4 linked regions of the Notamacropus eugenii genome follow. The protein of the gene in region 1 interacts with the protein of each later gene in a pairwise test. Links are inferred from orthologs where the notes say so. Each region holds a gene or a part of one and is shown in the gene's direction. Other genes may lie near its edges. The genes, in order: HTT, EVL, OSTF1 and ING5.

The links.
Region 2: the proteins of HTT (region 1) and EVL interact in binary tests that used the Homo sapiens proteins (3 or more experiments, as listed by UniProt). The link is inferred for Notamacropus eugenii from reciprocal best matches to the Homo sapiens genes HTT and EVL.
Region 3: the proteins of HTT (region 1) and OSTF1 interact in binary tests that used the Homo sapiens proteins (3 or more experiments, as listed by UniProt). The link is inferred for Notamacropus eugenii from reciprocal best matches to the Homo sapiens genes HTT and OSTF1.
Region 4: the proteins of HTT (region 1) and ING5 interact in binary tests that used the Homo sapiens proteins (3 or more experiments, as listed by UniProt). The link is inferred for Notamacropus eugenii from reciprocal best matches to the Homo sapiens genes HTT and ING5.

What each region holds. Positions count from the first base shown.
Region 1 is NC_092877.1:53,267,165-53,274,420, forward strand, and holds the start of HTT (huntingtin), read left to right. Parts: upstream 1-4,236; 5' UTR 4,237-4,248; coding exon 4,249-4,469; intron 4,470-7,256.
Region 2 is NC_092872.1:355,478,113-355,485,304, reverse strand, and holds the start of EVL (ena/VASP-like protein), read left to right. Parts: upstream 1-4,186; 5' UTR 4,187-4,447; coding exon 4,448-4,470; intron 4,471-7,192. UniProt on the Homo sapiens protein: Ena/VASP proteins are actin-associated proteins involved in a range of processes dependent on cytoskeleton remodeling and cell polarity such as axon guidance and lamellipodial and filopodial dynamics in migrating cells.
Region 3 is NC_092874.1:374,995,497-375,003,276, forward strand, and holds the start of OSTF1 (osteoclast-stimulating factor 1), read left to right. Parts: upstream 1-4,762; 5' UTR 4,763-5,193; coding exon 5,194-5,227; intron 5,228-7,780.
Region 4 is NC_092877.1:378,732,310-378,739,986, forward strand, and holds the start of ING5 (inhibitor of growth protein 5), read left to right. Parts: upstream 1-4,669; 5' UTR 4,670-4,781; coding exon 4,782-4,818; intron 4,819-7,677. UniProt on the Homo sapiens protein: Component of the HBO1 complex, which specifically mediates acetylation of histone H3 at 'Lys-14' (H3K14ac) and, to a lower extent, acetylation of histone H4. Component of the MOZ/MORF complex which has a histone H3 acetyltransferase activity.

The sequences.
Region 1 (7,256 bases):
TGGCAAATGAAGTGACCTGTGAAGAGGAGCAGACCCTGGGAACCTACCTGAGCACCAAGAAAAGCTATAGGAGGTCTCTATGATGAGAGAAAGGGCTTCCAGGTCCTTTGGTACTAGGGGTGGTGAATTGACTTTGTCGCACCTGGATCTAGAGGTGGGCTTCACCACCATTGTTCTCTAAGTTTGAATCCACTCTTCACATGAACACTGTCTACTTGTGGGAGAATGTACCATGTTTATGGAGCCAATGTTCTGTAGCTACATCTACCTTACCAAATGCCCTTGCTAAGAGCTAATAGTGGATGTATGCTAGCTAATTATTAATGGAAAGTACACTGAACGGAGACAGTGTTACAGTGAAAAAAAATGCCCTAGATTTGGAGTTAGGGGTTCTGGGTTCAGATCCTAGCTCTTCCATTACTACCTACGTGGTATGGTGGCTAGAACACTGGGCCTGGTGTCTGGAAGATCTGAGTTCAAATGTGGCCTCAGACGCTTACCAGTATGACTCTGGGCAAGTCACTTCACCCTATGTGCCTCAGTTCCATCATCTGTAAAATGGGGCTTGTAATAACACTGACCTCCCAGGGTTGTTGTAAGGATCCAATGAAATAATAATTATAAAGCGTTTATCATAATTAGCACATAGTAAGCATTATATAAATTTTAGTTACTATGATTACTACTGGTGACTTCAGTGGTTCTACTGGATACAGCATTGGATTTGGAATCAGAAAGACTTGAATTCAAATCCAGCCTCGGGCACTTTGGAGCTCTGTGACTCTGGGTAAGTCACTTAACTTCTTTTGCCTCAGTTTTTTCTTCTGTAAAATGGGGACAATAATAACACCTACCTCCCAGGGTTGTTATGAGAGCCAAATGAGATAATATTAATGACATGCTTAGTTCCGTGCCTGGCATATAGTAGGCGTTTAATAAATACTTATTTCCTTGCTTCTCTGAATCTCGTTTTCCTTCTCTGTGAAAGGAGAGAGTTGGACTAGATTACCTCTGAAGTCCAGTCTAGTTCTAAATCTAAGTACAGAGCCCTGTATTAGGTGTATGGGAAGATATAAAGGCCTGGTAGGACGGGAATTTAGAAATGGGAGAAGACAATAATACTTCAGGGGCCCATGATTTTATCTCTTCCCAGATTAAGATCAAAATTCCTCCACATTATTCATGAGGGACTGTGATTAAAAAAAAATAACTCCAGGAGGCTAAACCTTCAGTCATGAGACATTAATTCTATCACTGGGCCTGTACTTTTTATCCTTTCCATATCTGTAGGATCTACCAGAGGTTGTGTTCCAATGGTGTTGGCTTTTGAGGTGTTGCTAGGGTCTCCTCTGTGCTGTGATGAGGACTCTGTGGACAAATAAGTAAATAACCATTTAAAAATAATAAATTCCATTTATCCAGGGCTTTAGGGTTTAAGAAAGCATTTAAAGGATAAAAACTGTTCTCCTCATGACAATTCTATTAAGTACAAGTATAATTATCTCCCTTCTGTAGATGAATAAAACAAGGCTCAGAGATGTAACATAGTTGGCAAAGTATCAGAGTGCAAAGTTTAAAACAAAGGTCCTGGGAATCGAAATCTAGAGCTCTTTTTGCTAGACTACTTGAATGGATTTCCTACTGGACTCTGGAACCCACACCCTCATCCCTTGGGTTACTGTGTGGAAAAAGTACAGCTCAAATCCCCATTCAGTGCAGAGTCCAGGCAGGAAGCCCAAGTCAAATAGTAAAGTATTTAAATGAAACACACGCACATAGCAGATACCAAGCAAAACTATGTAGAGAGTTCCTCAAAACAAACAAGGAGTCTCTCATGAGTTCAAGGGCCAGAGGGGGAAAAGAAAAACATTCTCCCCAAGGGAATTCATGTTCTAAGACAGAGGTATTAAACACAGGGACCAGTATGAACCAGATTAAAATGCAGTTGGGAAATATTTAACAAAATAAATGAAAATGCAAAAAAAAAAATAGACAATATTATATTTCAAAATTAAGTTACATACATATGAATATATATATATGATCCTTATAGTTAAGTTTGATAAGAGTGCTGTAGGACAAAGGAGTCAAATACTGGGCCACTCTCAAGTGCAGCTCAAACCAGATTAAAATGTAATTGGGAGTGCCAATGTAATTCAAGTGTAAGACAGGGATAGGGTTCCTAATTTGGGATTCACGAACAATTTGTTTCCTTGGTAATCCTATGTATTTTAATTTATACATTTAAAAACATGATTCTGAGAAGGGGTCCACAGGTTTCATTAGGCTGCAAAAGGAGGTTGCCTTGTATCATGTCTGGGTCATATTTTGGGTCAGCGCCTCTCCTCTTAGACTATCATTTATGACAAAGCTGCAGTTCTCTGAATCTCTGTATGATCAGCTGTCTTTGCTGAAAGTCTACTTCCTCTTAGCAGGGGAAAAGACACTTCATGGCTTCTGCTGCCCCTTTACTTCCCTCCGAGTTCCCAAGTTCCTCTTGGCCCTGGCCACCTTCTATCATCCCTGTGATAAGTTACATCTGTATGCTACTTTAAAGTTTGAGAAGTGTTTTTTATAATATCATCTCCTCTGAGGTTTGGAATAGCCCTGGGAGCTAAGAGGAAACAGACTCAGAAAGGCTGAGTGACTTGTCCATGGAAGCAGATGTCTGGCAGTTTTCCAGATTCTGGGATGATCCCTCTATCCCCTGTTGTTAATTACTCTGCCAGAGTCAGATTACTTGTCAGTTTCTTCGGTGCCTCTTCTCATTGGCTCCGAGATCTGGTTCAAGGGGCTGCTTAGACAGTTGTGAATTACCTCCATGCTCCTTCTCCAGAGAGGGTCCCCTCATCCTTGTGCCTAGCTCAGACAGGGTGAATGCCTTAAACCTCCTTCCTGCCTCAGAGGGAAGGTATTAGTTGCCTCCTCACACTATCTGCCTTCATTTCTGAGGTTGGGATAAACCCATGTACCCCTCTTATCATTTCCTGTGCACCTCCCAACTTCGGCACTGCCCCATTAAGAACTCCCCATTAAGAGATGGGGGGTGGGGGTAGAGAGCACATACTGCTAGCTCCTATAGGAATTCCTGTTGTTGAAGCTTTTAACCCTCTCTATGCCACCCCCTCCCCAATAAAATAATACACCAGCAGCATTCAATAAATTATAAGGCGTCCCCTTCCTGCTGGGCACCGGGGATACAAGAAGGGCAAAGACAGTCTCTGCTCTCCAGAGCAATTACAATCTAACGGTGGTGGGTGGTGTGGACCCCAAGCAATCCAATATGTACGAACAAGCTAGGCACAGGACAGCATATACAGGAGGTACGGAGAATTGGCACACAAAGCAAGCTACCCTGGATTTTATCCTGTCTCATCTCCAGGCTAGGCAGTGAGTTTCTCGGGGAAAAGGGACCTGTGTGGATGAACTGTGTTGATACATGGCCTGGCAAGAAGGCAAGCCTTGCTTTTTGAGTCGAATCAGGCTGCTTCCAAAACAAAAGGAAGGAGGTTAGACATGGGGAAGAACTTTTTGACTGGTAGTGGGGGTGGGGGAGGCTCTGTTGTAGGTTGGGACGATATTAGTGGCTAACACGCTGAATCCCGCCTCAGAGGACCTGGGTTCAAATTCAACCTTCAACACTTAGCCCAGGGCCAATTCTACTTGTTGAGCCTCAATTTCCCCTTCCGTACTCGTTTCCTCATGGGATTGTTGTGTGGCTTTGCAGCTCTCTGAGGATGAGGCCGACTCTCGGACAGGTTCGGCTGAGTTTCTTCCAGAGACCGAGGAATGCAGAGAGTCCCTCTTTCCTCGGGCATCTCTTAACCCCTCTCAATGTACCAGAACCACGTTCATCCTACGTCGGCAGCCGCCAGCGCTACAGTGGGGCCCCGCCCCGTAGGAGGTGGGCGGGGCCTAGGCCCGCCTCTCGCCTCTGATTGGCGGCCGCAGTTTCTGCCTCGCTGTCACTCCCGCGGTGCCCCCTCTCGTCAGCGTCAGTGTCTCCTCCCAGCTCAACCCCGCGCTGAGGGCCGCTTCCCGTCGCGGGGGCTGCCGGGACAGTTCCAAGATGGCGGCGGCGCTCGGCGCCGTCTCGGGTCTTTGCCAAGCGTTCCATTCATTTCCCGGCTGCTGAGCGGGGCCGCGGAGACGCGGGAGAGGCCGGGGGCCGCCGGGGAGGGCGCAGGGGGCCACGCCGGGCCCTGGGCTGGCGCCGGGAGCCGCGGGGCCTCCCGCTGACTGGCCGCCATGGCCACCCTGGAGAAGCTGATGAAGGCATTCGAATCCCTCAAGTCCTTCCAGCAGCAGCAGCAGCCGCCGGCGCCGGCGCAGCCTCCGCAGCCGTCCCAGGCGCAGCCGCCCCAGCAGCCGCCGCAGCAGCCGCCCCAGCAGCCGCCGCAGCAGCCGCCCCAGCAGCCGCCGCCGCCGCAGCCCGGGCCGTCCGGGGGGGAGGAGCCGGCGCACCGACCGTGAGTGGCTGGCGCCGGCCGGGCGGGGAGAGCGCGGCGCCCCGGCCCCTCCCGGGATCCCCGGTGCCCCCGAGAAACGGGGCCTGGGGGTGGGGCTCCGGGGGGCTGGCGGCCGGAGCACCTGTGGTCCTGGCCCCGAGGGCACCCCTCAGCCTGTCACCTCCCCGGCTTGAGGGAGGGGGTCTCGCCCCACCCCCTTCTTTCCTGGGCACTAGACGTCCGGTCTCCTCCCAGACCCAGGGGGGACGTCGGGGGGCCCCCTCAGCTTGTCCCCAGCTTGGCGTCTCCTCCCCCGGCTGAGGGGGCCCGTGGTGCGCGCCTCGAGGAAGGGAGCCGGGGGTCCCCTCATCCTTCCCCCCAGCGTCGGGAGACCCGGGGCTCCCTGCGCTTGCTCCCCTGCTGGGAAGCGGACCCGCTTCTCGCGCTCGTTTCCTCGAAGACCTGAGACGACCCCCTCCGGCCGTCCTCCCCCTCCCCCTCCGGCCGTCCTCCCCCTCCCCCTCCTCCCCCTCCCCTCTCCCTCCCTCTTCCCCCTCCCCCTCCTCCTCTTCCCCCCCTCCTCCTCCCCTCTCCCGTGGGCTCTCTGCTGGGTTCCCGTCACTTCTCTAAGTTCGGGGGGAAGGAAGGTTCAGGAATTGGAGTGAAGTCTGGAAGTTGTGGTCCCCGCCCTGGGTTTCTGACAGCCCAAGACCTGGGTCCTGGCGGGGGCGGAGGGTGGGGCCCGGGACGTCCGCTAGAGCCGAGCCCCGGGGGTGGCTCTTCTGGACCTGAGAGTTTTGGCTTCGTTACTAAGTTGTGTAGAGCGTTAAATTCTAGTCAGGGTCACCATGATGATGACAATAACGAAGGGTCCCAACTTCTCACTTTCCATGCTGGTCTGTAAGAGTTTGAATAGGTTGTAGTACATAATAGTAAAAATGAGATGAACTTACTCTTAGTTCAGGAATTTTAATTTTGAATAAACGAGAGATGGTAATAGTGAAAGTATTGGGAAAATTTTCCTGAAGTCCATTTTTTTCTCTTGGAAAGAAAAATGCTTCTGGAGACAGTAGTTAAATTGTTACAAGACTAGGAAGATAATCTTGAATATACTTTCCCGATGTTGTTTGTAACTTGCTTGGACTTGGCACGTACGATAATTCTGAGATGCACGTTACAGAAACATGTCAATTTGAAGCAATGAAAAAGCGTTTCAGTGCTTACTATCTTCCAAGCACCGGGGTTGCGGATAGAAAAGCTACAATCCCGGTTCTCAAAGAGCTCACATTCTGACAGGGGAAGACAACACATGGAGGAAGAAAATAAATAAAACTGGTCACAGATGTCATCCTTTTATAGACTGTTTGCCTAGTTGTCTGCTGCTCTGTTTTCTTGAGAATTTACTTAATTGAAACTGAAATACATAGGCCACCATGAAAGCTGAGAACTTGATGTGAAGTTTTGCCTGTTTTTATCAGTAAGGTTAAAGATGGTGTCAGTGAACATTGGCCTGAATATAGTATTATACCTTTGTAATAATATTGTTATAAATAGTAAGAAAATAATTCACGAAAAAATAATTATGGAAAATTACTTTAGCTACTTTGTTGGACCCAAATGTCCATAGGTGTGACTTCATTCTCCACCAGTACCAGGCAAAACCTCTCATGTCTTTTCATCCTGTAAATTCTTGTGTGTCTTCACATAAATCCCTCTTAGAAAATCTGTCCAATGTACTAGGAACTTGACTCTGGTTCTTTTGTATCAAAGGATACTGGGGGAGCAGGGGAATTATTCATCTTTGGTCTGTCAGTTTGGCTATACAACTGGCCCACTTTTTTGTCCTAGTCACTGATGCTAACTTAAAACACCATTTAAATTAAAAGTTTATTTTTACTATAAAATTATTTTCCCACAGACACAAAACATTTCAATGTACAAAAAAAAAGGTTTGCATATGAAGGGGAATATCCATTATGGGCAATTTGCTTTGAAAGATAGAATATATTTAATTTAATAATTAGCAATTGCCCAGCTTGTATCCCCTTCAGAGCTTTGTTTTCTTCTGTGTACCCACTTTGTTTCCAGTTTTTTGCTACAAGAAAAAGTGTTGCTATGATTATTTGTCCTTGCGAATCTTTTCCTTTCTGTCTTCGACCTGTTTAGGATATATGCCTAATAGTGCTATTGCTGGGTGAAAGGATGTACACACACACACACACTCTCTCTCTCTCTCTCTCTCTCTCTCTCTCTCTCTCTCTCTCTCTCTCACACACACACACACACACTCACTAGTGGTATTTAAAATACAGTTCCAGATTATTTCCCAGAGTACTTGGATCACTTTACAGTTCCATCAACAGTCCATAGTGTGCCTGATCTCCCATAACCTGACCAATAATTGCCATTTTCATTTGTTGCTATTTTTGCTAATCTTATTTATGTGAGGTAGAACCTCAGAGTTTTAAGCTCTACTTTTCATATTCATGTCATTGCTAGTAATATGCCATTGTTTTTTTTTATACCCATCATGAATCTTTCCAGTGCTATTAGGGTTACTTATAATTTGATTCTTCCAAGATTTTGGCATATCATGATTTATAGACATGACTTATCATGTCTGTCCTTAAAAGAGATGGATATTTGTGGCAATATGCAGTTTGGAATGTGCAACTAAGAGGCACACATTAGTGTCTAAATGTGAGCTAGCCCAATCTCCTCATGTTCAATCTGGGCTCGGTTTTTTATTTTAATTAAGTGTTCAAGTTGTACATGTTGATGGACTATCAGTCTAGCTTTATATTATAG
Region 2 (7,192 bases), on another chromosome or scaffold:
GGGTGATGTCTTGACTTAAAAGTGATTTCGATTTAAGTGAAGCAGGGCTGTGCAAAGTCACCAGCCTCACTTTCTCCTCTAGAAAGGCAAGACATAAATCAAGAAAACTGGTGATGGCCCATGCCCATTAGAAACTCCTAATTTAAAGTGGGGAGAGGAGATAAGCCATGCTTGCAAATAAGTATGATACAAGGTCAAGTATGATAAGCAGTAGGGCAGATATGCAGACATAATGCTCTTAAACAAATTGGGGGAGACAAAGATCCTTTTCAGCTGGAAGGATCAGGAAAGACTTCATGGATGAGGTGGCACCTTGTCAATACAGATACAGGAAAGTTTGTGATACCCAGACCCAGTAGATGGGAACAAGAAGCTCCCAAGAAGACAATAAAGCAAACATCTTTATTGAACAGACATGCTTACAAAATAAAGGATAGTCAGGGAGAATTATAGAAACAGGACAGATCTGGGCTCTTGGTTGGAATAGGGCACCCCACCTAGGGCACCCTCTTCCATAACAGTAAAGCCTGGTGAGTTTTGACCAGTTCTTAGGTAAGTCTAATAAAATAAACCAGAATAAACACTAGGGGAAGTGATTGAGAAGCCTGAACCTATGGACTGGTGCTAATTCAGATTGGGAGAAAGAGGAGGCAGAGGAGGGGGAGGCAAAGGGGTTTTGGGTTGTAACTATAGGTCTTATATTTACAGAGTAACTCAGCTTCTCTGACAGGGATTTCTGGGCTTCTTTGATTAGTTTCTCAGACAGGCTAATGTATTCCTTATACACTTCAACTTGAACTTAGACTTTAAGAATCATAGCATCTTCTAGTTCAAAGGAATCTTAAAGGTTATACAGCCCAGTGATGCCACACATCACCACCAAGTGTCCACTTGACCTCCTTTTAAACATCTCCTGTGATAAGGAACCTCTGCCTCTTGAGGAAGCTCATCACATTGTGGGGCAGCTAGAATTATTAGGCAGGTTTTTTGTTCTCCTCTTTATTTGAAATCTCCCTTCCTCCAATTTGCTGCTCATTGGTCCTAGTTCTGTAGCTAGGTGTTGCAGTGGATAGAGTGTTGGGCCTGAAGTCAGGAAGACATCTTCAGACGCTTATTAGCTGTGAGACCCTGGGCAAGTCACTTAACCCTGTTTGCCTCAGTTCCTCATTTGTAAAATGAGCTGGAGAAGGAAATGGCAAACCTCTCCAGTATCTTTGTCAAGAAAACCCCAAAGGAGGTCATGAAGAGTTGGACACGACTGAAAGCAACTGAACAACATTGGTTTTATGGAATAATACAGAATAAGTATAGGCCCTCTTCCCCATGATGACCCCTCTTATATTTGAAGACACGATCAAAATCATCACGGTTTTCTACATTTTTCACACAGATTGTTAGCTGTCTGAGCGAACTGCTACCTTTTAGACCTGGTTTTTATTTATATTTTACTTATTTCAGTCCTAGAAATTATTTGAAAAAAGAATGGGAGGAAATTTCAACTCTTCAGTATATATTTGTTTTCATGTGGTATCCCACATTAGATTGTAAGTTCCTTGAGGTCAAGAATTGTCTTTTGCTTCTTTTTGTATCCCTGGCACTTAGTACAGTACCTGGCACATAGTAGGCTCTTAATAAATTGATTAATTGGTGCTGAAAAATTGATTCTTCCCCTGTGTCTCCCAGATCAAATAGAATAGTACCCAGTTCTGTATTATGTTCAAACCACCTTGCCCCAGAGCCTTCCCATTCTATGATGCTTTTGCCCTCTCTCCTGGGCTTTTAGCCATAGATATCGATGTTGCCTCTGGTTCAGTCCCTGCTTGTTATTTCCATCATGTTTCTATAATGATTCATCTGACAACAGGTGGATTGGGGAAATGAATCTAATTATACCAGTTAGAGTTAAGTAGTAGTATCATGGAATGAAGTCTCCTCCACAGACTTCCTAAATATTCCAATTTTACAAAAGAGGAAACTGAGGCACAAAAAATTAAGTGCTGCACATCTCACATACTTCTATCACACCCTCCCAAATCTGCCAAAGGTCATAAAACTACCCAGAAAAAGAGGCGAGATAAAAACTTAATCTTTTGTCTTCTAGACTAGGTCATACAATCTAATGGAAGCAGATGTTATGGCTACCCCATTGGAGGTCAGACTTGGTCACCCCTCATCAAAGTATATTTTCCAGGAGGACATGGAAAACGCTGGTTGACAACTTGAGATTTGAAGTTCTTACTCTGACCCAAGTGGTGCTAGAGAAAGAGTGATGGATTTAAGGTTCAATGACCCAAGTTTGGATTCCACCTTGTGTCACTTTAGTACCTATGTGATCTTGGGCAAATTACCTGACTTCTCAGCACCTGAGAATTCACATCTGTAAAATGAGAGGAGAGACAAGGAGATCCCCAAGGGCCATTCTAACTCCAAATCAATGATTCTGTGATCTCCCCTAGTAGCAGCTTATCTGAGGTCATGCAGTGAGTTTGTGAGAGACTCCGGAATAGGGCGGAGTTGGGAGGAAAAGAAGGGTAGAGTAGCAAAACGAATGTTGGTTTAGGAGTCAAAAACTAGTGTCAGCTCTGCTTCTGACTAACTATGTCATTCCCCTCCCTTCCCCCCCCCCCCATTTTCCCACTAATTCTTGGCATTTGAATTTTCTCTTAGGATGTTACTGTGTTGTTCAGTTGTTTCCAACTCTTTATGACTCCATTTGGGGTTTCTTGGTAAAGATACTGGAGTGGTTTATCTACCATTCCCTTTTTCAATGGATCCATTTTGTAAGGCAATCAGAGATTAAGTGATTTGCCCAGGGTCACACATCGAGGCTGGATTTGAATTCAGGTCTTCCTAACTCCAGTTCTCTATCCACTGAGCTACCTACTTGCCTCTCCTAGGATATTAGACCTAGTGATTATACTAATGAAATTACCTGGCCAATCAGGAGGCTCGGAATAAAGTCTCAACTCAAGGCCATATGCTCTTGAAAAATTAGACTTTTTGTAAATATTCACATTTTAACAAATTTCCCAATCTTCTTTTACCCTGAAACAACATTCAGAGTGGCTTTTGGTTTTGTTTAGCGGTTGGACAGCAAGAAAGGTGTAAGAAACAAAACTCAAAATGACATTTAAAATTCTTTATGTGATTGCCAAGGGAAACTGCCTCCTAGTAGGCTATGTTTGCATTTGAAGAATTCAGGTACACTCCTGCTTTCCTCTAGCATCTGAGCCTAGGTTTTTGTTCTAAGTTTACTAAGTTTTTTCTTTCCTTTTTGGGGGGGTGGGGCTATCATCATCATCACTAGTAATGGTGAAATTTGGCTCTGGAGAATTTTCCATGACCTTATCCAATTATACCTACTTGATCATAGAAACATTGAGTGTCAGATCTGAGAGGAATCTTAAAATCACACAAACACACGTGTACACACAATCATTTCTCAACATGTGTGCTCTTATTCCTCCATGCCTTTTCTTGAACTTAAAAAGATGAGTAGGGATTCAGTGATGGAATGAGACGTAGCGAATATTCCGAGCAGAGAGCACAATTGAGCTGAAGGAGAGAGAGGTGAGGAAAGATTGGAAAGGGAAGGCCATTGAGTCCAAACCTCTCATTCTAAAGACGAGGAAACTGAGATTCAGAGAAGGCGCAGACTAGTGCAGACTCACAGCAAATTCAGCTCATTCACTTCTGAGGCAAAATTGGAACTCCCGCCATCCGGGTGGTGCCAGATTGCAAAGGATGCTGAGTCCTAGGGAAAGGGTCTTGAACTTGGGGGACAGGGGGTAGACAGTGAAGGTTTAAGAGCAGAGAAGGAACATGACCAGCTCTCTGCAGAAGCACCAGATTTCTGAGGATTTTTTCCAAGTCGGGCTGGATGTCCGTAGCCGCTCCTAGTGAAAACAGCCCCCACTACCATGGCTAGCCACACTACCCCAATAAGACCAGAAAGCTGCGGCTGGATTCCCCCAATTAGCCCAGCAGATGACAGTGACAAAGGCTGGCTTCTCCTTCTCTCTCTCTGGACTCCCCCAACCCCCACCTCCCTTGGAGATGCCAACCCTGGAGGGGGAGGTGTGGTGCTGAAACCCATCGATCTGCGATTGAGCGCGTGGCCCAGTCGGGTCCTGCCCAGAACCTGCCTGCCACCGCTGTGGAAGAAGGCAGCTCCCAGGGTGCTGCATTCATCAGAATTGCTGAGCTGATCACATGGTTTTCTTCCTGCCTTCCCCGTTAGCTGCTCCTTGTCAGCAGCTGGCGGAGCCCGAGGCCGCAGGCCAGTGTGTCTGCAGAAAACCTTTCCCGGCCCTACGTTGCAGAACGCCAGCCTCCTGCTCGCGCTCCCACACCCGCGCCGCCGCCAGCCCGCCTCGCTAACTAAATGGTTTTCCTCCGTGCCAGGGAGATTTCCGTGGATCCCAAGGAAGCTGCCTCTGACTAGGCCATGTTTGCATTTGAAGAATTCAGGTAGGCTCCCGCTTCCCTGCATCAGCCCGAGCCTGGCTTTTTGTTCTGAGCTTACTGGGTGTTTTGTCTTTCTGTCTGTCTTTTCTTTTCTTTTCTTTCTTTCTTCTTGTTTGCTGTGTAATGACACTCTGGGATCTGGCCGCTGCTGCTGCTTGCTAGCAGGGCTGACTTCGGTATTTGTTGGCGGGTTAGAGGGAGATTTGGTTTGGGGAGATTAGGGTTGGGGGGTGCGGGTGGAGATGGAAAGCCCGGGATCCAGGGAAAGGATGCTGAGTGAAGGCTGAAGTGATAGCCAGATAACTGATTTTTCCGTTGCACGAATTGATTAAGATCCACCTGGATGCCGGTGTAGGGCTCTGAATACCAAGCAGCCCAACATCGGTCCACCCTTTGTCAAACCCAGGAGAGAATGATGCTCCTTTCAAAAATAAATAAATAAAGTGGGGAGGTGGGGGATGAGAAGAATGTTAATGGTGGTAGCTGAAGCCGGAGAATTTTGGCAAGTCTGCAGAGCTGAGATTTGGCTTTGACTTCATCAGATGTTTGTTATTTTTAATAATAATCTCCTGGCTGGGGAGCTCTGGGTGAAGCCTGTTGGAAGGGTTTCCCTAAGCAGGCTTTCTCTTTGCTGTTTGTAAGCGGTTCAGCTGCTGCTGCAGTTCTTAATGTTCCAAATTAGCATCTTTTGTGAGGCTGACTTGCCCCCTCTTTCCTCAGAGAACCCATCTCTGAGTATCAGTGTGGGAAGGGTAGTTTGGGCGAAATGAAAATTAAGGAGGGTAGGGCTGAAAAGGCAAACAGATGGATTCTATGTTATGTGCCACCTCTTGTGAGCTTATGAAGGAGTGTGTTTGCTGGGATTCCTGACCTCTACTAGCCTCTGGTTTTCTGAGAATGATTTACTTTTTATTTTTATACTAAGCCAAACCATTAAAACAGCTGGAAAGACTAGTGACTCAGGATGTCAGAACTGGAAGAAAACTTGGAATCATAGAACATGGAATGTTGGAATAAGAAGGGACCTTGGAATCACAATATGAAATGTCAGAGCAAGAAAGGGACCTTAGAATCATAGACCATGGAATGACAGTGCAAGCAGGGACGATGGAACCATAGAAGAAAGGATGACCGAGATGGAAGGACCTTAGAGATTATCTGATCTATTACCTCATTTGACAGATGTGGAAACTGAGGTTCAATGAGTTTAAGTAATTTATCTAAGGGTGTACACCCAGGAAATGGCAAAGTTAAGATGAATCCAAGTCCCTTGTTTCCAATCTACAGGGTCTCCTTGACGGCTTTACAGCCATCATCACAAAACCCTTATCTGATTTCCCAAAATGCTACAACCCTATCCCCTTATTTAAAATAATCACAAAACAACCACCTTAGTAGATATAATAATTATAAGAGTGAGGGAGGGAATGAATGAAAGAGGGAGGAACCCTTTTCATACAGACAAGGAAAATGAGTTACAAGGTTGGGCTATAGATGTCTTTCCATAAACTTGGCTCTTAAGATTCAAGGATTTCAGTTTGTGTTGTGTTTAAGAGGCTTGCTCCTTAAAGTTAGAAATTGGAAAGGCTTATTCTTATGGGTAGAAAGAGGTCATAGATGGTGAGGAAACTCTGGTCTTATACTTCAAGGACTATTTTCTGTAAGCAATGGTAGAAATGAGGACTGGTGGCATTTCACACTTGCCAGCAGGTTTCTTTGGCCTGAGTGAAGGGGTGTTCCTGGAATCCGTTAGAATGCTGTGTAACTGCAGTTGCCAGAGCATTGTTAACCACAGTCCATTCAATGATAACAGGAACTCATTTGACAGATATTTATTAAAATACCTACTGTGTAATAGGCATTGTGCTAGGCACTTAGGGACACTTTTTTAGTCACTTTAGAACTTGAAAGAATCTTTTGAGATCATCTAGTTTAACTCCACCTAGTTCGAGTCTAACTTGTTGCCCAAGGTTACACAGATAATGACTATCAGGGACAGGAAATAGCGAATAAATGGTGGAGTGGAGATTCAAACCCAGATCCTTTGACTTTAAACCTAGAGTTTTTCCATTATACCATACTGGCTGGGGGATGGAGGAGGGTGGGAAGGGATGCATATAATGTAGTATTCAAACCTGTTTCCACTCTTAAAGGTCCTGGCAATAAAGTGGATTTAGTCCTAGTGCCCAGAACTGGGGAAATAGTTCTCTACACACTCTGCCCTGATCAGACTACACCTGGAGAATTGTGCTCGGTTCTAGGCAACCCATTTGAGAAACAATGTTGATTGGTTTGAGATTGGGAGGGCTACCAGTAAGAAGAAAGAGGCCAAAATCAATCTGAATGAATCTTAACTGAAGGAGCTAGCGTGCTTAGCCTTGAGAAGACAGAGGCAGGACAAAAGACATTGGTGTGAGAAGGGACTGTATTACTCTAATTGTTCAGAGGGTTTTTTTCCTCCCCCAACCCCCAATTCAAACCTAAATCTGCTATTTCCACCCACTGCTCCTGCTTTCTGGGGCCAACCAGAACAAGTCCCTCCTCCAAATGATAGTCCTTCAAACCCTCTGAACAATTAGAGGAATACAAATGTAGGATGGGCTGCTTCTCGAGATAGTGGGTTTCTCATCACTGCAAAAGCTCTTCAAGTGCTTGTCGGGGATTGTATAGAGAGGATTTGGGTGATGGATCATATTAGATGAACTCTGAGTTCTACTAAGCTCAA
Region 3 (7,780 bases), on another chromosome or scaffold:
TGCTTCGATATTTTGATGGATTGATGACTGGATGGATCTTTTCACTGTGGGTGCTCCCTTCATTGAAGTAGATCCCAGCCCCTACACAGCTTCTCATCCTGGATGACTCTTATCCATGTCCTCCCAAAAATTCTCCACAAGGAGACATATCAAAGGCCTTCCTCTTGGTCTCTTGATGCTGCACAGATACCAATGGCGCAGTAGTTAGTTACTGTCCTCACCATGTATACCTTCTTTTTCAGTCACGTATATCTCTGATGGCAGCAATGGAGGTACCTTGCGATCTATTTACACTCAGCATGGGCCTCCTCATAGCCTTCTGGGTGACCTGCAGTTTGAATTTTCAGAGACTATATGTGGTATTCCATGACTTGTAGTCACATTGTACCATCAGAAAAATATTGGGGTATTAGCTCACATCTATCAGAAATTACAAATGCTGGAGGAGATGAGGGAAAAATAGGTACGCTAATGGAAGTGCTGGTGGAATAATAAGGTGGTCCAACCATTCTGGACAACAATTTGGAACTATGTCCAAATGGCTATAAAATTGTCCATTTTCTTTGACCCAATAATACCACTCCTGGGCCTGTATTCCAACGAGAAGAAAAAAAGGAAAAGGAACTATATGTACAAAAATATTTATGGTAGTTCCTTTGGTGGTAGTAAAGAATTGGAAATGGAGGGGATGCCCATCAATTGGGGAATTGCTGAACAAGTCGTGTCATATGACTACGATAATATAATTATGCTATAAGAAATGATGAGGAAGATGATTTCAGAAAGACATGGGAAGAACTATATGAACAGATGAAAAGTGAAGTGGGATGAAGTTGGAGATCACTGGGCACAATAACACCAATGTAGTAATGATGATCAGCTGTGAAAGACTTGGTACTCTGACCAATACAATGTTAAAAGATAATTCCAAAGGACTTATGATGAAAAAATGCCATCCGCTTCTAGAGAGACAACCAATGAACTATGAGTACAAATTGAAGTATAACTTTCTCCGCTTATTTTTCTTGCTTTTTTTTTTTTAAAAAAAATAGGGCTAACATAGAAATATGTTTTACATGACTTCACATGTATAATTGATATGATATTACTTACCTTCTTAGTGGATGTGGGAGGATATGAGCAGGAGAAAATTTGGAACTCAGAATTTAAAAAGAAATACAATTAAAATGTTAAAAAAAGGAAGGAGAGACAAGGGATGATAGTGGGGATGGATGGATCTAGTGACAGTTTTTTGATAATAGGGTAATATGAACATGTATATAAGCAGGCAGTAAACAGGCAGAGAATGAAGACAAATGAGGCAATTGGTATGATAGAGGAAGCAATCTGCTACAGAAGATGGGATGAAATGGGATCACTTGCACACCTAAAATTAGCCTTGCCAAGCGGAAGGGACACCTCTTCATATGAGACAGGAGTGAAGGAAGAGATAGTGGCAGAAAGCATCGAGGTGATATGGCATGAAGAGAAAAAAAGTGAGCTTTCAGCAAATATTTTTTAGAAAAATTTTTCGGTGAAAGATAAGTGAAGGCTTTCAGCTGAAAGAGTGGGGGATGATGGAACCTTGGGAGGTTGGAAAAGGTTTAGAAAATAAGTTGTGGTGAGTATCTCATATTCTTTATATTTTTCACATCCCCTAGCACAATATCTTAAAAATAGATGGCACTGAAAAAATACCTTTTCATGCTTCATTCTTCAGTATATCAAAGAGAGTTCAACCTCTCATGAGTGATTCCACGGTTTTATTACTGTAATAATCAATTTGTTTCTTCCCTATGTCTAATCACAATCTTCGTCATTTTCCTGTAAGTCAATTTCCACTTGTTTTGTCTTCCAAAGATGTGGAAAATACCTGCTTAGCCTTCCTATGTTGAAAAAACAAAGCAAAACCCCATGCTTCTATCACAGCCACATCTTAGCTTTGCCCTTCTCTAGACTAAAACAATACCAATTGTTTTAAACTGTACTGTTAAGACCTATTTGCCATTCTAATTATCCTTGTTACTATTATTATGTCCTGCTTCAGTTTCTCCACATCCCATTTGAAGTATATTTATAAAAAGTTTATAAGGTTGTTCTAAACTCAGCATATAGTGAAAGCATGATTCTAGTTGGCATTTTTCACAACAGCAGGCCACTGCTCACTCATACTCAATTTGCGGTAAAATTTAACCTCAGCCCTCTACTTGCCACAGGTCCACTCTCCCTCCCCCCATTTTTTGCCTGTTTGGTCATTCCCCGTCCTCTGTTTGCATGGGTGTCACAGGATATCTTTAATATATTTTCAATTCATGCAAAGTACAACTGTATTAATATTCATATTGGATGATTATTTGTTAATTTAATAAAAAATAATATTGGAGTAAAAATAACAGGCTTTTTTTTTTCTGAGAGAAGTTCAGGGTCATCAAAGGCACTACACAATTTTTCCAAAGGTAATCTACCATATTTCCTTCCCTCTACTCAGTTCTAGGCCTGGCTCATTAACAAATCCCAGTTTTTGGCCAAGGTATATGTAATGATGAGGGGCAGCTAGGGGTGCAGTGGAAAGAGCACCAGTGCAGGAGTCAGGAGGACCTAAGTCTTACCTCATACACTTGACACTCAGTAGTTGTGTGACCATGGGCAAGTCACTTAACCCCAATTGCCTCATCCTGGGTCATCTCCAGTCATCCTGCTGAATATCTGGTCACTGGTTTCAGATGGCTCTGGAGGAGAAGTGAGGTTGATGACCTGCATAGCCTTCCCTCACTCAAAACAAAGTCAAGTGCAAGTCATGTCATCATCTCTCTGAAGGCATGGTCTTCTTTGGCAACGAAAGACTAACACACACAATGTAACGATGAGGGAGGTGGGATCTCCAGTTCTCCTGTATCTTGTATCTGTATCTTGCCACTGGATCCAGATGGCTTTGGAAGAGAAAGTGAGGCTGGTGATCTTGCACAGCCCTCACTCACTTAAACCCTATTCACTTGCAAGTTACGGCATCACCTTCCTAATGTCATGGTCCTCTTCAAGAATGAAGCAGACAACAACAATGGAACAACAATGTAACAATGATGGATCAGCAATATGGACTGGCCATCTAACTAGATGACTTCTACCGAACAACAGGTGTGCTTCATCCACTTTTTTTAACTGTAAACCCAAGCTTCAGAAGGGATTATGGATCTTGTTGGGGTGGGGGAGGAGCACTGCAAAATGCTGCAAGGCTTGATGCACTCAGCAGAATGTTACCTGCAAATGGGTGACTTTGAGAAGACTTCTTCATCTGTAGGGCACGGCTTTTTTCATTGGGACACTGTACTACATGATACTGGCAAATACCTTGGGTGAGAATGTCTGCCTCTTTTCTGACCTGCTTGATATTAATCTGATTTAGTGCTTCTGTTGTTAGGTGTTTCAAGGAATTTTGTACAAACTGTATTTATGTATACAAGAGCTTCACTGGAGCAGTTTTCAAAGTGAAATTTTGCTTTTTTCTCCCCTCTATTTGTCAAATAACAAGCACATTGGGATCTTTTATTTTCCATGGTATATTCAGTCAAATGTGACTGTACAGATGCAGTTTGCTGTAGAATTTGGAAAAGCCTGTAACCTCCTCATACCTTCAACAAGGATGTTTCCAGTTCATCTGAAGATTATATTCATGAAAATTTTGTAGAGACAGGAAAGAAAGCATACCAGTTAGTAGTTACCGATAGTCTACATTTTGGGAGGTAATAATAATATAATGGAAAGGAGACTGACTCTGGAGTCAGAGGACTTGGGGGAAAATTGTACCTCTGATGCTCATTACTTAAGTGACCTTGGGCAAGTCAGTTTCCTCCTACTCAAAATCAAAAGGCTGGACCAAATTGCCTCTAAGTTACTTTCAGTTCTAAATTTATGAGCCTTAGACGTTTAAAAGTCACAGAAGCAATCTAGTCCAACTCATAGTTGAAAAGTAAACCTCTCCACAACAGAAACACACTATATATATATATATATAATATAAAACCAGTTGCTGGAAGGGGTCCAGCGAGGAGCTTATAAGCTTATTAGCAACAGAACCAGCCCAACTCCTAGGTAGCTTATATTATTAGGAAGTTTCCCCCACCCCTACCATCAGGTCTTACATAAGAAGGCCAGGTAATCATTTATTTTACAGAGGGGGTGGTGGTGACAGAAGAAGAGAACCTTGATCTCGTTTGTTTGGGAAGAAACCACGCCATGTGGAAATTCCCTCCACCAATGAAGTGGCTGGTCATTGTAGGTAATTTGCACTTCGCAGAGTTGCTTAGTCACCAAGAGGCTGAAAGACTTGCCCACGAGGTGTAAAAGACAGGACTCGAACCCAGGTCTTTCTGCCTCCTCTATTCCCCACGTCAGGCGGCAGCTCTCCTGGTGGAATGTTCATGGTGACAACAACCTTCTCCTCGAAAAAGTGCGACCTGAGGCACCCCTAAAAGGGGGAGGCGCGGTGGCCAAGCGAGCACCTGGGTGAAGACCCCGCAGGCGCAGCGCCGCACCGATCAGGTACTCACCTGGCAGGTAGTCCCGGGCGGGCACCACTTCGCCACCGGTCCCCCAGAGCGTACGAGCAGCTTTCAGGGCAGACCGTCAGCGCGGGTGATCAGCTCAGACCCTCGACACCAAAGCCGGGGGGCTCCGGCACTTTCCCGGGGCGGCCGCGAGGCACGCAGGCCGCAGGCAGCGCGCAGTCCAGTCCCGTCGGCTGACCCTCCGCTCCGGCTCCGGCCTGGGGGCGGGGCCCCAGCTCGGGTTCCGCGCCCGCTCAGAGGTGGGGCGCGCCGCCCGTGCCCGCGCTCGCCCGCGCGCTCCCTCCCGGGCCCGTTCCGTCCCGCCTGGGCTCGGCTTGGGGCTGGGCTGCCTCCGCCGCCTCTGCCGCCGCCGCCGCTTCCGCATCCCTGCTGCGTGCATGAGCCGCTGCAGCCGCTGGAGCACTCGGGGCCCGCGAGCCAATTAGCGTTTGCTGAGGTAGCCTTCACTTCCTCGTTGAGCGAGCGCTCGGGACGCTGAGCACCGCTTGGAGGAAGCCCCCCTTCCAGTCTTCTTCCCCTTCGAGGAGGGGTGGGCTGGGCAGGAGAGAGCGGCCGAGGAGCCGGACTCAGACTTGTACTTGGTCTTCTCCCTCCCCGGCCTTTCGGATTCGCCGCCCCGGCTGGAGAGATGTCCAAGCCGCCCCCTAAGCCCGTCAAGCCAGGTAAGGGAGGGGCTCCACCCGGGTGCCAGGCTGCCCTGCTTCCCTGCGCTGCCGCCGAGCCCTCTTCTCTTTACAGAGCGAACCAGTTTGGAGGGTGATCGATGACTTTTAAGTTCAAGAAATGACAGGATTGTTTTTGATGACAAGAGTTTTGAGATCTGGGGGTGAGCGCACGCACTGGCAGCTCTGCAGCGTTCCTGGGGGGATGTCTGTAACATAAAGTCAATCGCTTGATTATACCTTTAAAAAAATTCTCCAAACGACTTTTAAAGATACTTCCCTTTTTTTGGGGGGGGGGGGGGGAGTTGTATCCTTGTCAAGAGTCAAGACGGACCCAAAAGTGGGAAGTGCATGGGTGGGTGGGGTGAGGTGAGGTAAGTATATGAAGTCCTGCGGGACGTCTCCGGAAGGAAGAGCAAATGCACTCCATTGATCTCGGCTTCATTTTTGGAAAGCCTGTAGTCAGCTCCAGCGGCCTAATGCTTCAGGGCCGGAAGGATTCCGGCAGCCCTGGCCATTGCGGCTCCAAGCTGTCACTTTTATACATACGCCATCAAGGCTTCGGGGTGAATATGGGCGGCGGGGGCGAGGGGGAAGCGGAGCCTGCCCTCCCGAGTGGAGAGAAGCCTCCGAAAGCACCCTGGCAGATAGTCCTTATTCATTAGTAAACTTTTATCCTCTCTACCGAAGGGTTCTGTGCGCTTGGGAGAGAGGAAGGAAAGGGACAGCTGATTTCTGAATCCAGTGTGTTTCAGTAGGATACTGATGAATGATGGAGTAAGTCGGAATTCCGAAATCGGGGGATTTGCTGAACTTTAATAAAAGCATCTTCAAAGTTCAGAATACATGTTTTCTATTGTTGTTCAGGAATGTCAAGGATTTGGTTTTATTCTGTACATCCTTCGTTATTGTATTTTTTCCCTAAATTTATAGTGTTTTCAAACATAGTATAATTTTCCTCCTTTAAAAAAATGGGAAATAAGAGTACCGTAAATCCCTTTTATTTGAAAAAAAAAAATTACTACCCTTGTGATGTTATTGGTGAATGCCAGTACTCCCAGTAAGGAGATTCCGTTGACCAGTGTATTGGCAGTTTCTCTGAAATTTTTAGTCTCTGTCACTGAGAGGTTGAATGATTTGCCCAGGGTCACACAGTATGTCTGTGACAAATGAACCATTGTCTTGGAGCCCCTTCCCCTGCTAAGCTGCTAAGCCAGGCTGCTCTCTTCTCAAAATTATTGGTTGCTTTTTTTTTTTTTTGCAAGTTTCTTGAGATTTAAATTTGCATAGACCCTACTAAATCTTAACCCTGTGCTTCCTGGTGTATGGAGGCCTTGCAGGCTATGTATATGTCCTATTATGGTCTACCATGTTGGAAATGCTTTGCATGTGATTTTGGCAACGGATTCTGAGTCAGGTTGTTGTCCCAGGATCAGCCTACTTCAGACACAGGCTCAGCACCAGATAATGATATTTTTTTGGGCATGGCAACTCCCAAGCAGCATCCACATAGGCAGTGGGGGGACTGAGGCATCAGAGGGGTGATGACACTGATGAATTCCTAAAACTGTGAAGTAGTTCTTGATAGGAAAGCCATACCAAAAGAAGAGTGATCGTAGACTTTATTATTTTGACCAAAGACTGGGTGTGAATAATAACATTTTTATGTTTTGATTTCAAGTTTTCTGTTTTCTGAAAATGCTTTCAAAGCATTTGCTCATGACAATCCTGTAAGCTAGGGTAGAACAAGTACTATTATAATTATACCCATTTTATGGATGAATTAACTCTGGTTGAATCGGTTTGGTGACTTGCTCGGGGTCATATATATGGTGTCATGACTCCCAGTTCCCCCATCTTTTCAATTATCCCACATTATCTCTTAAGAGTGAAACAGTGGGACTTGAAAGTGTTTTAGACAAGAGATCAAATTTTGCCATTGGATATTTGATTTTTATTTGCCAGGAGAAAGCAACTTATCAAATGAAAATAATGTCTTATTCTTTGGCACTCAATTATTTAAAAAAAAAAAAAGTCCTGGAAATCGATCAAATGGTCTTCTGGATCTAGAGACAGTTTAAGTAATGTCTGTGATGATGTCTGTTCCTTCTCTATGAGTCAGAAAAAAAAAGGCTGTTGCATTTTTTTTTTCAAATTTGCTTAATGGATTATTATCATGGTACAGGATCTATCAGTCACTTAGCCTCTTTTTCTATGAAAGATTAGGAATCTCTAGTTCTTAAACTTGAGTCATTGTACTCATTCACATGGACACTATTTGTCTACTACCATTAAGCCCCACTAACATGGATCACTATTTCATTGTCTTGCTTTCTGTTCCCAGTGCTACTGGACTATTGCAATAGACTCCTAAATGGTCTGCCTCGTTTGCTGTGCTCTCTAATCCCTCTTTCACACTTACTAAAGTTAGTGTCTTAAAGCACAACTCGGATCATTTTGTTATACCCCTGTTTAAAAGTATCAAGTAACTCCTTCATACACTTTTACAGTTAGACAGTTCATGCACCTTGGGTGCTACGTTTTTGACTGACG
Region 4 (7,677 bases), about 330 Mb from region 1:
ATCTATTTATCTAGTATTTGAGGCTGGTCTACTAAAGAAAAGAATAACTTTATTTGAAATCTCTTTGATAAGGGAATAAAGAATACTTAAGATAGAAAAAGTAAGAACAGTCTCAGCATCAGTCCCTCCCTCTTCCAGTTATTTCCAAATGATAGCTCAGATCTCCTTCTAGGGTCTTTGTGGCCAGACTCTTAGAGTAGGGCATTAGAATGCTTGTAATGAAAAAAGGAGGCTAGGTTTGTACTACATTCCATCTGTCTTTCTGAGCCTTCAAGAATGAAATTAAGGATGGAATTGAGCTAAACAGCTGAATTGGGCCACTACACTAAACCTGGGGAGGATGATAGCAATAGTAGTAATCATTGCCATTTTTATGGCATTGTAAGGAGATCAAAGTGCTTTAATGATGTCTGATCTCAGTCAACAAGCATTTATTAGATACCTACTATATGTCAGCCACTGTGCTAAGTGCTTCACAGACACTGTCTTATTTGATTATCTCAATGACCCTGTGAAGTAGGTGCCATCCACACTTTACAGTTGAGTAAACTGAGGCAGATGTTAAGTGACTTGCATAAGATCACACAGAGTTGGAGGCTGGATTTGAACTTGGTTCTTCATGATTTCAGGATCAGTGCTCTATTCACTGTGCTATCTAGCTGCCTGGGTCTATTATACCCTCATTAAAAAAACAAACCAAACCAACTCTCCTCTGATGAGTCTTCAGGTAGCTCTCATGCAGAGCTGAATTTTTCCAGTTATCCACTGAGTGGCACCATCAAGTCTAGTCTCCAGGAAATGAGAAAGGGCTTCATGAGCCCTGACACCCTAGAGAGTGGTGGTGAGTTCTCTTCAATCCTCAGGGCAGCCTTCTGAGCTCAGAAGCCCTTCGGGGAGGATCGGAGAGGAGCAGCCAGCCACTTTCCTCAAGTCACATGGCTCCCATGTGGCAGAGGGGATCTGACCCTTTCTGCTAAGTCAGCTCAAAGACCCAGGTGATGTGAGCTCCTTTGGGGCAAAGAGTCACTGTTGTTTCCTCAGCACTTAGAACATTTCCTGACACACAGTAGGAGCTTTGTGAATGCTTGTTGATTCACTAAGCAACAAGTTAGGTGAGGACAGTGTGCATGATCTGCACTGGGAGTGGTCTCTGCCAGCAGGAATTAGAATCCATTAAACCAATGTTGTGGGGAGGATGCCATCTTTGGATTTGGATGATTTGGGTTCAAACTTTGGCTCTGTCCCTTCTACCTGTGCAAGCTTGGGCAAGTCTTTCAGCCTCAGCTTCCTCATCTGTAAAATGAGAGAGTTGTCCAAGACAGTTGCTAACCTTTCAGCTTTTAGTCTGTGATCCCCAGGACAATCCTTCAGGACTCCTGGGAGTAAACTGGTCAGCTACTGCAGGGGAGTAAGGCCCCTGGGCTAGCACTTACTGTGGTAAGTACTGGGGAAACAAATAAGAAAAAGACAGTTCCTGCCATCAAGGGGCTTCCAGGCTCATGGAGGAAACATCACACAAGAGGAAGCTCTGCTTCGTGGAAAGGAAACCAAGGGAAGCCCTGAGGGAAAAGGAAGCGGCCTGCAGCTCTGAGCCCTCTGCAGAAGCCAGCTTGGGAAGATCCACCCTCCACCTGCCAATCAGAGGGAACTTGGGGCCCTCCAGGCTGCCCTTTCCATCACCCTTGCTCTGGGGCAGCAGATGGAGCACTGGTCCTGGAGTCAGCCTCAGACTGACTACTTGTGTGACCCTGGGCAAGTCACTTCACTTCTATTTGCTTCAATTACTCCTCTGTAAAATGGGGGCACACTGTAGAAGGACATGGCCAACCCCCACAGTACCCTTGCCAAAAAAGTGCATGGGGTCACACAGTTGGACACAACTGGACCACACCACCCCTTGTGTGTATAGGTAATGAAGCCCTGTCTATAATGAACCTAGGGTGCCTAAGTCTCAGTGCATGAGAAGGCAGAAACATTCCCTTCCAAGCTGACATTTGCGGTAGCAGCCCCATCCTCCAGACTGAAATGTGTGAAACCCCAGAGGGTGAGGGAGCGGGGGACCTTCCCCTCTCTCTGTTGAGAAAAGACACAGCTACATGCTAGGAGCTGCCACCTTGGCATACAAGCAGACCTAAGGAAAGCTGCTGAATGATGTTAGAAATGCTTCTGTTGAGATCGACTTTTCTGATGTCCCTTTCCGAATGCTTCCACAGATACCACTATTGTCTTCCTGCTGCTTTGCTTGACTTCTTAGCCAGCTCTGCTCTGTCTCCCACAGAGACAGTGACTGTTATGGGCAGGGGAGGGAGCTGTTCTAGGGTCCCTTCATTCAGGGAAAGCCTGGATAAAAGGGTATCACAGACTTACACCAAAGGCCTTTGGTAAAGGTGGGAGTCATTCTGATCTGATGCCAGAAAAAGGATGGAGGGTACAAGTAGAGGGCCTTGGCCAATTCTTGATCAGAGATTAAAGCAGAGAGGAGAGCAGAGGTTGCCAGGGAGCAGATCTGAGGTGTGGAGTATGGGAGGGGAGGGTCTTCACAATGGGTGACGTTTTCTCAGTAAAGTAGGAGCTGAGGTCTGTTGAGAGGGGCTTGGGAAGGTTGGCAGAGGAGGAATGAGGAGAGAGGAAGGTTCAAGTAGCCACTGTGGAGAGAATGACAGATAATCCGGGAAGAGCTAAAGGGTCCCAGGGTGGCAGCAAAGGCCTAGTGGATATCTGATAATGAATTTTTTGGTAATCCAGCTGCCACGGCTGCCTGACCCTCTCTAGCGGCATTCAGCAGTGCCTGAGGAAGCTCAGTGGCCATAATTGAGGAGACCTGGACCATTGAGGTTGGATTTATCAACCTTTGGGTCGTGTCTATGAAGGGAGGCCATGGCAGGGGTGAGGGATTGGGAGAACCGAGAAAAAAGGGGCTGGGAGAGGTAGTAGCTGCAGACAGGAACTGACTTCTGAATCCTGATCCTGACACCCCCAACCCAACCAACGGCCACCAATGGCCAGATAAGCCTGTGAGCCCCAGGCATGGCAGGACCATCCAAACCCACCAATTCTGCTCACAGGTATCTGACTCTACAGGAGCTGCACCCCTGAGCCCCTGCAGCTACTGAAGACCCGCATCCTCAGCAGCGCCAGCCTGTCTGAAACCAGAAAGAGGTACAGCTTTATCAGTGGCAATGGCACCAACAAGGCCCAGTGGAGGGCCATGGGACCTTTCCATCCGACCTGACGCTGAAACCCCCTACCAGCGTCTGTGCTCGCCCAGGAGAGCGCGGGCTGGGAGGCTTTTCTCTCTCCGTGCCCAGGGCTTTGCCCCTTCTGCTTCCTTCAGAAAGGTTCATTCGTTCATGTGCGAAGTGGGTGAAGCAGGACATGAGCATCTCGGTGTATCAGGGAGAGGAGGGAAGGCGGTAACGGCCACTTATGTCAGGTTCTTCGGCTTGTGCAGCATCTGACCCTCACGGTTACCGTGGGAAGCGGGCCTCAGTGCCCCCACTGCTGCAGAAGCGGGGAAGTGACTTGGGCAAGGTCACCCGGCTATTAAGCGTTTGAGGAGGGACCTCACCTCCAGGGCTCCATCCACCGGACCACACTGCCTCCCTTCGGGGCACCCCAAGAGAGGAGGGGCCAGGCCCCCAACTCCTGGGGAGGACCAGCGGATGAGCCGGCGGAGCTCTGGCCAGGGCCACGCATCAGTCAGGCAGCACCTGGGAAGCGTCTGCTGCGGGCCTGGCGGGCCGGGCCGGGCGTGGCGGACCCAAGGCCGAGGGAGCGAGCGGGCTAGGACCTCCAGAAACTTGCATTCTGGTGGGGGAAAAGGGGCATGTGTGCGTGTGCGCACGTGTGTGTATGTGTGAGTGTATGTGCACGTGTGTACGTGTGCATGTGTGCGCTGTGTGCACATGTACTGAGCGTGCGTGTGCGCACGTGTGTGTATGTGTGAGTGTATGTGCGTGTGTGTGCACGTATGTATGTACGTGTGCATGTGCGCGCCTGTGCGTGCTGTGTGCACATGTACTGAGCGTGCGTGTGTGCACGCGTGTGTATGTGTGAGTGTATGTGCGTGTGTGTGCACGTATGTATGTGTGCATGTGCGCGCGCCTGTGTGTGCTGGTGCACGTGTACTGAGCGTGCGTGTGCGCACGTGTGCATGTGCGTGCGGTGTGCGTGTGCACTGGCAGGACAAACCGCAAAGCCGCACACGTGCGGAGCCGTCACACCCACACGAGGCTCCCGCTCCGGAGCGGGAGGGGGCGCAGGGGGCTGGCCCGGGAGCCCCCCGGAGGCAAGACCGGAGCCGGACTGAGCCGGACTAAGCCGGACCCTCTCCTCTCCGCTCTCCCCGGGACAACCTCCCGGGGGCGCTGCGTGGAGCCCCTCCTGTGCGCGGGGCGGGGTCGGCCCGGGCTCTCCGGGTTTCCCCTCCTCCCCGCGGCCCGGGCACGTGCAGCCCACCGGGCTGGCGGGCTGGCTCCGGCCCGGCCCCCGCCCGGGGCAGGCGGGCAGGCGGGCAGGCTTCGCCGGCTCCGCTCCGCTCCTGCCCGGAGCCCGCGCGCCCCTCCCGGGCCATGCTCGCGCGCCGCCGGGCGCCGCCTGCCGAGGGGCGGGGCCCGCCCTGCGCTGAGCGCCCTGGCCAATCAGCGGGCGCCCCTCATGAATAGGGAATGAGGCAGCGGCGGCCCCACAGTGAGGCCGCCCCGCCCCCTCGCTCTCGCGCCCGCGCGCTCGCTCACTCCCACCCTCGCCCACACACGCGCCGCCGGGGCCGCAGGACGAAGATGGCGACCGCCATGTACTTGGAGCACTACCTGGACAGTGAGTCGGCTCGCCGCCGGGGCCGGGGCCGGGGTCGGGGCCGGGAGCGCCGTGCCTGGCGCCGCTGGGGCCTCGCGGGGCCTCGCGGCGGGGGCAGCGGCCGGGGTTCGGGAGGGCGGGGGTGCTCGCGAGGAAGGGTGGCCCGGAGCGGGAGGGGGTCCGGGGGGAGGGGCGGGGACGGGGGCGGCCGCGGGGGCGCGCGCGAGGGGAGGGGCGGCCGCGGGGGCGCGCGCACGGGAGGCGGGAGGGCGGGCTCGGCGGGAATTAAGAGGTGCGTCACCGTCCCGCGAGGGGAGGGAGGGCGAGCGAGCGAGGGGGGAGGGCGGGGCGAGGTGACGTAAGGCGGGGGCGGAGCCGCAGCCACCATGGCGACCTAGGCCACTCCGGCGGCGTCACTGCCCGCGGGACACGCCCCCTCGCTGCCTCCACCAGCTCGCCCCGCCCCCCGGCGGTTCCTGGCGCCCCCTGGCGAGCGAGGAGCGCACGTCGAGCCTAGAACGCTGGCGAGAGCGCGAGAAAGGTTGTTCCATGGATCTGGAGCTGGGGACCGGGAATGCTAGGTCCATGGATCTAGAACTAGGAGGCGAGCCCCTTTGATGAATCTGGAGCTGGGACAACGTTCTAGGTCGGTGGATCTAGAGCTGGAGCCGTGTGCTAGGTCCATGGATCCAGAGCCAGGGGACTGTTTTGGGCTCCCGGAGAGACCTAGAATGCAGGGAGCTCGGAGGGAGCTGGGGCGCCATCCCGGGCTCCCGATTCTCAGCTTGGATTCCCAGGCGGGAGCTCGCGTTGTGGAGAGGCCGGACGGCGTCCGAGCGCGTGGGGACAGCCTGGCGCCTCCGCCGCCCTGGTTCCAGGCCCATTCTGGGGGGGTCTAGACCAGCCTTCCTCCCCCCTCAGTCTGGAGCTTCCTGGCTCCTTGGGGACGCACCCGAGGAGCCCCCACTGCCCCCACACCCTCCTGTGGCCTCGCCAGGAACTCCCAGGCCGCACCCTCGTGCCCCCTTGGGTGCCCCCGGGCCGCGCCCCCGTGCCCCCTTGGGTGCCCCCGGGCCGCGCCCCCGTGCCCCCTTGGGTGCCCCCGGGCCGCGCCCCCGTGCCCCCTGGGTGCCCCCGTGCCGCGCCCCCGTGCCCCCTTGGGTGCCCCCGGGCCGCGCCCCCCGTGCCCCCTTGGGTGCCCCCGGGCCGCGCCCCCATGCCCCCTTGGGTGCCCGGTAGATGGCTGCCTCCGGGGCTTGTGTGCTTGCCGACTCACAGGCTGGGTGATGTCTCCTCCTCACATGGTCATCTGACCGTGGGGGTGTCTGTGCTGGCATAACTAGAAAGCAGCAGGACCAGGGGAGAGCCCAGGAGTTGGAGTTGGACCACCTTGGCCAGTCACTCCTCCTCCCTAAAAGGAGGAGCTAGGCTAGATGCCCTCTGATACGCCCCAGTGCCATTGCTTCTAAACTTGTTAACAGTATACCATTTCCTCAGTCAGCTAATTTCAAGTCATTTTTAACTTGGAAGAAATCATGTAAAACCCTTAGCACAGTGCTTGAGGCACAGTAGCATGCTTAATAAATGCTTATTTCCACCCCACTCTCACCCCTACCTTCCCTCTCACATGAAGTGAACAGCCCTTGGGCAGGTGCTTACTGTGTTATAAAGGGGAAGACCAAGGGGTTTCTTTGCCTTTGTACCCTCTGCTCTCAGCCTTGAGCTCCTCCTTCTTGTCTGAAGCAGGACCTGTTGGGGGTGGAGCCCAGCCACTGCTGCCAGTCTCTTGGGAATGGCACTGCAGGAGCACCTGGCTCGAAAGGGCTGTGGAGAGAAGGACAGAGGAGCGGGCCGCCTTAAGAAAGCTTCCGTTCTGTCACTCCCCCTCCTCTATAGGAGGAGGGATGGGATTGTATAGTCCCAATCATCTATAAGATGAGGGATCCTAAGGCCTTTTCCAGTCCTGAAGTGGCTGTGATTGCCTGGCACAGAGAGAGGATCCGATTCCAGTTCAGTCAGTTTGCCTCAGGAGGGTCTGGCACATGGAAGAAACAGGACCACCTGCAGTTTGCTTACAACCGGCTTGTTTGGGGAAATGATGCATTATTGGAAAAGAGAGTGTATGTGTAGAGCTCTCGGTCCCTCCTTCATGGTTATGGCACCTGTGGCTTTGTCCATGTTGTGGGTATTTCCTTCACCAAAGCACTGCACCTCCTCTCTCACTTAGTCCTCAGGAGTTCCTGGGGTTCCCCTGTAGCCAGCCTGATGATGAGCCTCTGGACTGAACTAAGTCTTTGGACATCACTCAGAGAGCTCCCAGTTTGACCCCAGGTGATGGATGCCTCACGAGCAGCAGTGAGTGCAGATTAGTACTCTCAGAAAGGAACTGGGCTTCATTGATGGGGAAGGGGAGGGATGGCACCAGAGGAGCGGCCTGAGCTTTCTCTGCTTTCTAGACGACAGAACTCTCTGGGTCTCTTTGGTTCCCCCTTTCATTCCCTTCACTCTCATGTCCTCCGTTTTTCCATGTCTATAAACCATTGACATCTGGAGTGCCTTTGTGATGAGGATCCCCAGCACACACGTGCTTGTTCATTGGAGAACTTGGGGGGAATGTTCCTTGTCCCCTAGAGTATTCATGATGGCAAATGGAATGGATCAGGAGCGGTATTCTAGTACTGCCTTTGCTCCCTTCCACAGGCATTTCAGATGTAGTTCTTTTTGGCATGATGAGACTCCCCTTGAGTAATTCAGTTCTTTTAATGTTTCCAGTTTGCCTCTAGCTCTCTCGTCAGGTGCTTTCTTGTCCTCATCTCATTGATCTCTCATTCCTATTCTCTGTCCCTTTTCCCTCTTTTTTACATTCTGAGCATGTGTCTT